Linked DNA regions of Daphnia pulex. The protein of the gene in region 2 binds, or shares a complex with, the protein of the main gene of each other region. Links are inferred from orthologs where the notes say so. Each region holds a gene or a part of one and is shown on either strand. Other genes may lie near its edges.

Region 1 (4,329 bases), on a different chromosome or scaffold from region 2:
CATTGCTATCTACCTTAAAACACATTTCTCAGTATCTTCTTGAATCTGATCATCAACTTGTTGAAAGACTTGTAAGTAATATTTCACATGTGTGTTCTTTTTTGGGATCCCTTTTTTGTCCTTATATTTTAGGCTTTAAATGTTTCATTCATATTTAGGTTTCATTGAAACAGTTTGTTGATCTAGAAAAAAGCCTTCACAATAGAAACACAATTCCTAGACATGATGAAGCATCATGCTCAATGAAAACTATATTGGGTCTCCAATACAAACAGGAATGCAGGCAAGACCCTTGGGACTACTCAGAACTAATTAACTTGGCTGTTATTTTGAAAAATCATTTAGAAGAAGCCAAGTCAAATTTAGGGCAACTGAGTAGAATTGTCATAAATCAACAAAAATGCCTGTAAGGATTTTGTCATCTTTGTCTTACGTTTGGTTATTTACATTTATTTGTGTATTCATAGAGAGCAGCTGGTTTTTAAGTTGGAAGAATTGCTCTTCGGGTTTCCGCTAACGTCTAAGACGCAGAAACCTTCTAATCTACAATTTCTTGATGAAAGAATTGATACTTTGAATGTTGTAAGACGAGACGTTCAAAGTCAGTTGAAACCCTTGAACAGAAAATTCAAAACTAAACAGGTCGTTTTCAAAACTGATCATCTGAACGTACTAGAACGTAGATTATGGACGCTTTTTTACACTGATGTCACATCAATGGTTCATAGAACAAACGCTTTGAATATTAAAATAATTCCCATGTAAAAATTGTATTTCTTTTTCATACTACACAATATCAATGTACCATTTGTTCATCCATTGCTTTGGCCATCCAGTCAGGTGCTACACTAGCAATCTTCTCTATAATATTATTCACTTGATAACACAGTGACTGAATTGAACGATCCCAGGCCGGTAAGACATCACGACCTAAAATTAATCAACATTACATATTTACATTACTGTACTGTAGACAATAAATATCAACTTACTTTCGAAGTGCACGATCGAATCTATCTGATCAATTGAACCGTTCATTCGACCTTCAGTTATCATTTGTGATGCAATTTTCTCAGCTCGAAGAGGATCCACTTCTAACAAAGCTCCCAGTTCCATGAAAGTAATGTTGTTGTACAGTTTACTCGCAGCCAAAAGGTTATGTTCTGTAACAGCACGCTCGAGAATTGAAGAACCTTAAAATAATAATAAAGTGACAGTTTTCAATGAATCAGATGATATAATTACCATCCGCTGTCTTAGCCTTCTGATGAGGTTGCAGGAGTGAATCGAGCTGAACAAGTTCTTTTCGCCTTATAATACGATCGAGATACATTTTCTCCAGAATGCAGTACGCTTGCAACTGTTGACAACGCTCATCCTTAAACAAAGTTGCAAGCATTCTGCTTCTCTGTTGTCCCGCCGATGCTAATATTGTACATATTAATGCATTTCTTAAAGCCGTCATTCGTTCATCGTCATGGATTATGCTTCGGTAAGAGAGCTCATTGTAGCGCTGGGCTGCTTCAATGAATTTACGACGATAATCCAATACTCGAGCATAGCAAACTTTATAATAAACCTGTAGCTGTTCATTTTTTGACTCGGCCTATTTAAATAAATAACAATCTTTAAGCATATTATTTGTTACAGTTAATACAGCTGAATTAATAGTGTTCTCTAAAACCCACAGAAAAGTTATAATACAGTTAACATAAAGAAACTGATTTTTAAATTGCTTATACCTGTAGCAGAGAAGCCCGATTGATAAATGATTCAGCTTGCACTGGGTCATCATCTTCTAAGTAGAGGCGTGCTATTTTCAAGTAAGTCTCCAGTTTGTAGTCCAAGGAGTACTGTCTACAATGTTTGACTTGACAGTGAAATTATCATTTACACAAGTAAATACTAATTGAAAAATTTACTTTTGCCCAGTTTCCAAGGGTATTCCAACTAAGACATTAGCAGCTTCCTTCCAACATTGCTCTCTTTCAAAGATATCTGCCAAATGCTGACGAATGGATGCTACTTGCTCTTCAAAAGATATCACTCGTGGCTGGATTTTCCCTAGAGCAAAACTGCACACAGATTTTCCCATGTCATCTGTCAACTTTGGAACATGACAACTTATTTCAGACAAAATCTGGCGACTAATAACAAGTGAAACATTCTCATGAACAATTGTTTCAATTAAAGCCTTTAAGCCCTCAACGAGTCCTTCACTATCATCTTGGTTCAATATACTTTCTAAGATTAAGCGAAACTTTTCCGCCTGATCCTTATGGAATCCACCTAGGAGAAAATTCGTGAAAATTACACACCTATATATTTACACACACATGCACACATACATATATATAATTGTTAATCATATGAAATTTTTTTTACCGGAATTCACAAGTGCAGCCAATTGCTGTTTATAGTTGTACATTTTTAGTTTTAACTGAAAAATACTATTAGAACCACAGACTACGAAGTACAATAGTCAGGGAGCCCGTGTCAAAGTAGACACAAACCTTTTAAGAGAAGGTTTGACTATCAACTTTGGTTTAGGAGGGTGGGAGAACCGCGAGATGGCGCGTCTGACGATTCAGACCGGCCGGGTTCGAGAGTTATTCACTCCCGAAGTCGGCGTGATTTGGGGAAAATCACAAACTGTTTAAGAGAAAAAATTTTTCAATCGTAATTTAAAAAAAAATACACTGATTCTAACGTCAGGTCGCCAGACGTTAGAATCTGCCGTTTTGAACAAATCAGACGCAGTCAAAGTTTCACTTTTTTGTGAAATTTCACATTTCATTTAAGAAATGTATTTTTTTTTGCATAAAATAGCTGCAAGTGAATTAGATTAAAACGTAATACGTACCTCTTTGTCTTCTGTTCCTCGAAATATCGAGACAAAATTTGTATTGGCAATTTATTTCACATCAAGCATGCGTATATCCATTTATTAACATCATGCGAAACAAATCATAAAAAGTAACCAAAACGCGCATTAGTCGCAGCGTGACAGAATATTTAGCACAGGTAATAAGGGTGCATTTAAAAAAAATATTTATTATGGGCTAGGAAAGAGCCTTTATTATTCTAGAAGCAGTAAATGGTTTAAATTTTTTTGTATTTCGGACAAGCCAACTAATGAAATGAGACATGAAAAACTACATGTAAAATTTGCCTGTATCATTTTTCGAATCATAATGGTTCGGACACGATAATTTCGATCGAGGGGACAAATTTCCAAACATGTTGTTCATTAGTTGAATCATACGGAAGATTAGATTTCGATTCTCTATTTTGAGTCGAAATTTTGAGTGAGCAGACAACATCCAGCTTGTAAGTCCCCGGTGTAAAAAAAATTATGCCACAACAATGTTTGTAGTTACTGTTTGGCTCCATCTTTTTAAAGAAAGCAAAACAGAAACAGATAAGACATTTTGATACTAAAGGAGCATATAAGGAAAATAAATACCTTTTCTAGCACAGCATGATCTGATCCAATTGTAAGCAGGCGTGTGTCTAATCGCCGATGAAACGTGCCATTTTGCAGATCTTGATATACCGATATTTGAAGATTCAGCGGACCCAAAAATTTACTTAATGCATTGAATAAACCGACTGTTACATTTAATACATCTCCCACTACACATATAAATTCGGTTCTTTCAGCTGACCATATTTCATTGTTTAGTTCCACCTCCAGCTGAATTGGAGGAATATGTAGAAGATCCAGCATAGATGGAGCTATGCGCAGGCCACTCAACGAAGCTTTGCCTTTTATTACTTTAGTCGAGTTTTGTTCAATGTTTTCATTGATAGAAGTACAAGTTTGATTGACGCCAGATAAGCTCCACTTTAGCTCAACTAAGGAGGAAATATGTTCGCTGCAAATCCTGGCAATCTTTTCAAGTTGCTGTTCTGGACTCAGGTCCTTTTCAGTGTAAACATGGGTTAGCTTGACCAATGGACATCGTTCAACAGGTACTGGAATACGACACGTATCAAGCGCTTCTATGGCAATGTGTTTGCAACTGCTATACTGTAGCTCCATTTCTGCAAGTATAAGAATTTGTAACGTTAAATTTTAATCTATGCTACTTAATGTTAAGCTGATGAGAGAAATAATGTTTTAAAAAAATCATTACTACTCTCATTCTCATATGCATTCCAAGAATTTATTACACAGATGCTATAAAAAATAAACTCGTGCATCCGAGACGATGCAACGCCATCCAGAAAAACTATTTTAAATATGGTGTATCGAAACGGCGGTGAAATTTCAACCAGCGTGTGTATCGTTGAAATAAAAGCGAAGATCAAATAAATTTACTTATC
Region 2 (4,090 bases):
TATGGTTAAGGGGGAAAAAGTGCTGTGTTTGAAAAAGACGTCATCTTACGAAGAAACCACAACTTGGCAGCACCGCAAAACACCAAACTCCGATAATTTGATAACTTACTGAAATAAAAATCTCGTTGGTAACTGGTTGTTGTACAGATCACGTGATCAAATGACTCGATGATTACAAAACGGACGCACCCTTCGTGTGCTTCGGGACTACAGCGGCAATACAAATCTAAAAACTGAGAGAGCCCTCTACCGTACTCATCCAGTAGTACGAATAGTAGGTAGCGCATCTAAATTGATTGCGTTCAACGATGCGTGCGTGAATTGCGCTACTCTAAGCCAAAAAGCATGTGACATCACAGGGTTAGAAGAGAAAAGTCTGCTGGTCATCAGAATAGGGGAAGAGATCACAAAAGGGATTACATACATCGAGAAAGTTACCTACATGGCAGAACGGTACTTCAAAGCTCAAAGTCAGCGTCTGGAACAAATGAAAATACTGTGACGAAATTGTTGCGCAATCCAAGCTTTTTTGTTTTCCATTTGAAAATAGCGTGAAGATATGTACACAACTGTTATTTGGTTTCATGACTGAATCTCTTTACTGCATTTAAAATGCTTGTACAGCTACCTAAAATTTGAACAAGAAAAACCGCCAAGTTCCGAGTTCCTAGAAATAGACATTGGCCTTGGCGGATGATGAATATCAATGCTCGTCAGCAAGTGCAGTTAAAGAAATTTTCTTTATTTATTTCATTGCGAACACTCTTTGAGACAACAATACCATGGGTGAATCAAGTCCAATGCTTTCAGGGATAAGTGAATACAAACATTAAGGAGTAATTACAAATTTTCAGGATTTATTCCAAAACTTATTTGGAACATTGGTCTTCAATCCTTTTCCCTTGGCAAGCTTCTTACCTTTGTCACCTAACATTTCATTGCGCGTTTCACCAGTAAGAGATATATCATCGCTTTCCTGGATCTGTCAAGTTTCAAGCATTCAGATTTAGTTTTAAGAATTTCAAATAATTGTAGTGCTAGATATACTTGGGATTTCAAGGTTTTTTTAATATTCAAAACTTCCTCCTCGATAGCGACACGATGCTTGATATGCTTTTCCTTTTCACAATTTGCATTCATGACTTGGGTTTCAACGGCTCCGAGAATTGCATCACATGCTTCACACCAATCGTTCAAAGTTTGAATGATTCGGCCAATGTCTTTGACTTGAGCATCTCGACCAATTGCAAAATCAACTTCCAAACGACCGTTACGCTGGTCTAATTTCCCATGAATAACGTCTGAAAGAATAATTGTTGATGATAAAATCAAGATGTATTAATTAATAATTTTGGTGGCAAACCTCCATAGATGGCTTCAATGACAAGATCTTCAAGTTCTCTGAGATTCTTCATATCAAGTTGTTGGACCAACACTTCATATGGAATGCACTAAAATTGAAACAACAATTAATAAAAACAAACTACAGTAGCTGTGAACTTTAACTTAAGATGCCATTGATGACTGCATGCAACAATGATAGCAATACTCACTTTGTTGGTTTCAGATAATGTCACAATTGTTAAGTGTCTCAGTTTCTGCTGCTGAAATGGTGTTAGCTCGGGCAATGAACTACTGTTTTCAAGATATTGTCTGTATGTTCCAAAGGCAAATAATTTCAGCAAATTGTAGTAAGGTTGAAATTGATCAGTTTGAAGCTAGAAAAAAATATGCATAAATGAGAAAATTTCATCGATTAAACATAAAAAAAATTCACCTCTGTAATATTGGGCATGTCGAGTAGTTCACCAAACACATAAACGCCAGGAGCTTCTAAAGCCTGCTTTACTAATTCAACAGCTGCAGCCCCTTTAGCCGACTTTGCTAACAGTACAAACTGTTCAAGGGGGTTGAAACTGGTAGGTTTAGTGTCAGTCGTCATATTCGGCACCACAATTTTCGCATAAATGACTATTGAACCAGAAATGAGACAGTTATTCTTACATTTGCGGAAAAAAATGATAAAATGTAAGCTGTATTTACCAAAAGATCTTCTTTAATAACCTACTACAACGTCTGATAGCATAGCCAAGGTATATTGTATAGAAGAATGAGATTCACTGTAGTCTGTAAGCAGTCCGCGCAACTTATTCGGAGCTTCTAAAATATGGTTGCGCGGAAACAGAAACAATGGGAATGGGGAATGCATTTCAAATAGTTCAAAACTACTAGGGCGCAAAAATAAAAATTAATCGTATTCACTATTCAGCAGTACAAATAACTTTAGTTTCATTTTATAATGTGACTTAATGTTGTAGTAAGCTGTGTTTAGTAAGTTTAGCAACATTGTCACTTTTGATTGTGCGATAATAGTTAAAACAGAGCTGGTTAGGTTTGGTTGCTTTAGATCAGGTCAGAAATACTATAATTAATTCTTTAAAAAATTCAAACTTTTACAAAAGTGTCCGGATGGGGAGAATAAGTAAAGTGCGGAGAATCCGCACCTCAATCTCGCACTTTACCAGTCAATTCCGCCTTCCGCACCCCATCCCCCCCCCCTCAACGGATGAACTAATTATTCACATATTTCGGCTGTGGGTTGAAAGCAAAAAAAGTACAATAAACAATAACATGAAAAAGGTCGAGTCAAACCAGCACAAATGACAGCATGTGAAAAAACAATTCCGACTTGAAAGCCGAAAAAAGACTTGCGGGTTGCGGATGGCAAAAGAGAGAGGGGGGATGGATGGTTAGGAAGAGAAGTGAGTGAAAGTTTTTAGATAAAAAAAGAACTGGGAAACAGCATTTGTTGTGGTCCCTCGGGCTTATTTCATGTTGAGCGTCGGTTAGCTGCTAGTATATGGGCAGATAGAGCCTTTAGTCTCGTGTTTTTGGTGCCGAGCATTCTTCTTGTGTTCACCACTGCGAATTTCAGACAGTGTCGCAAGCTTCAACACCCGTATCTTTGCTTCTTTATTGGTTCTACTTCGACATTGTGCTGACTGCTGATATTAGAAAACGGTTCATTTAGTTAGTGTGCATGTTTAGGGCGGCCAAAAATAAACCTGCTGGAGACTGTTGGTTAAATTTTGGCTTATTCGGGTTTTAGAAGTGTGAGTTTCTCATCGCGGCTGTACAGCAGCTGCCAGACTATTTCATATTTCCTTACGGGTGCTTTACGTCTGCGTACTTGGTAAATACAAGAGTGACTTCCCTTGTAAATAAATCTGAAATTTTGAGCGCAGCGGAAAAAATGAGTTTAGATGTTCAAAGTTCACAACAAATGATGGTAAGGGTTCTGTTTTTACCAGTTTGCTTCATTTTTTATTTTCCGATGACGTCATTTTTTGTTGCTAGGTGTTGTACGTCAAGGCGGGAGCAGACGGAAAGCGCTACGGAGCCTGTCCATTTTGTCAGGTTCGTTGATTTCTTAGTTAAATGGGGATCTGGATTACGTTAACAAGATTTTATTACAATTATTACAGAGAGCCTTCATGGTAGTATTGACGAAATCTCTACAGCATCCCTTCCACTTCAGATCCGTCACCGTAAATTTAGCTAAACCACCAGGTACACGATCCGTAGTTGGGATAAATTCGCATAAACTTTTATGGACTAAAAATAAATGTATAACTTTTTTCCAAAGAAATTTTTCATCAACGCGGATTGCGCCGTGTTCCGTCCCTTGAAGATGGAGACCAAGTGATTGACAACATCGATGATATCGTTTCTTATTTGGAGGTAATCGTATTAGTTGGAATTTACTAGGTACACTCAAAGACGAATTTTATAAATTTGATTTACAGAACAAATTTCCGGACAACCGTCTACTGTACGACAACCCGAAAGCTGATTCTGCGATCAAAAATGTGTTCTCGCGCTTCTGTTTTTACATTAAGCAGATTTCAAAAGACTCCACACATCTTGAAAATGAGCTTCAAGTGTTGAACACTTTTCTCGGTCAACGAGGAAGCATATTCTTATGCGGGAATAATTTAACGCATCTAGACTGCGAATTCCTGCCGAAACTTCAACATATACGAGTTGCTAGTGCTGCTTTAAAGAATTTCTTTATACCCATTAGCCTTAC

The links. The genes of interacting proteins can lie anywhere in the genome.
Region 1: COP9 signalosome complex subunit 7b-like (region 2) and COP9 signalosome complex subunit 4-like share a complex: the UniProt entries of both Drosophila melanogaster proteins name them as parts of the CSN complex. The link is inferred for Daphnia pulex from reciprocal best matches to the Drosophila melanogaster genes CSN7 and CSN4.

The regions. Positions count from the first base shown.
Region 1 is NC_060024.1:7,065,514-7,069,842, reverse strand, and holds COP9 signalosome complex subunit 4-like, read right to left. Parts: upstream 2,577-4,329; 5' UTR 2,429-2,576; coding exon 2,386-2,428; intron 2,290-2,385; coding exon 1,923-2,289; intron 1,858-1,922; coding exon 1,743-1,857; intron 1,607-1,742; coding exon 1,246-1,606; intron 1,194-1,245; coding exon 993-1,193; intron 931-992; coding exon 797-930; 3' UTR 766-796; downstream 1-765. Other genes in the region: HAUS augmin-like complex subunit 3, read left to right, coding at 1-71, 159-406, 468-765; trafficking protein particle complex subunit 9-like, read right to left, coding at 3,190-3,393, 3,467-4,047. UniProt on the Drosophila melanogaster protein: Component of the COP9 signalosome complex (CSN), a complex involved in various cellular and developmental processes.
Region 2 is NC_060017.1:4,234,937-4,239,026, reverse strand, and holds COP9 signalosome complex subunit 7b-like, read right to left. Parts: upstream 2,331-4,090; 5' UTR 2,044-2,330; intron 1,972-2,043; 5' UTR 1,943-1,971; coding exon 1,778-1,942; intron 1,719-1,777; coding exon 1,554-1,718; intron 1,452-1,553; coding exon 1,364-1,451; intron 1,302-1,363; coding exon 1,048-1,301; intron 983-1,047; coding exon 851-982; 3' UTR 722-850; downstream 1-721. Other genes in the region: chloride intracellular channel exl-1-like, read left to right, coding at 3,254-3,289, 3,358-3,417, 3,486-3,570, 3,647-3,741, 3,807-4,090. UniProt on the Drosophila melanogaster protein: Component of the COP9 signalosome complex (CSN), a complex involved in various cellular and developmental processes.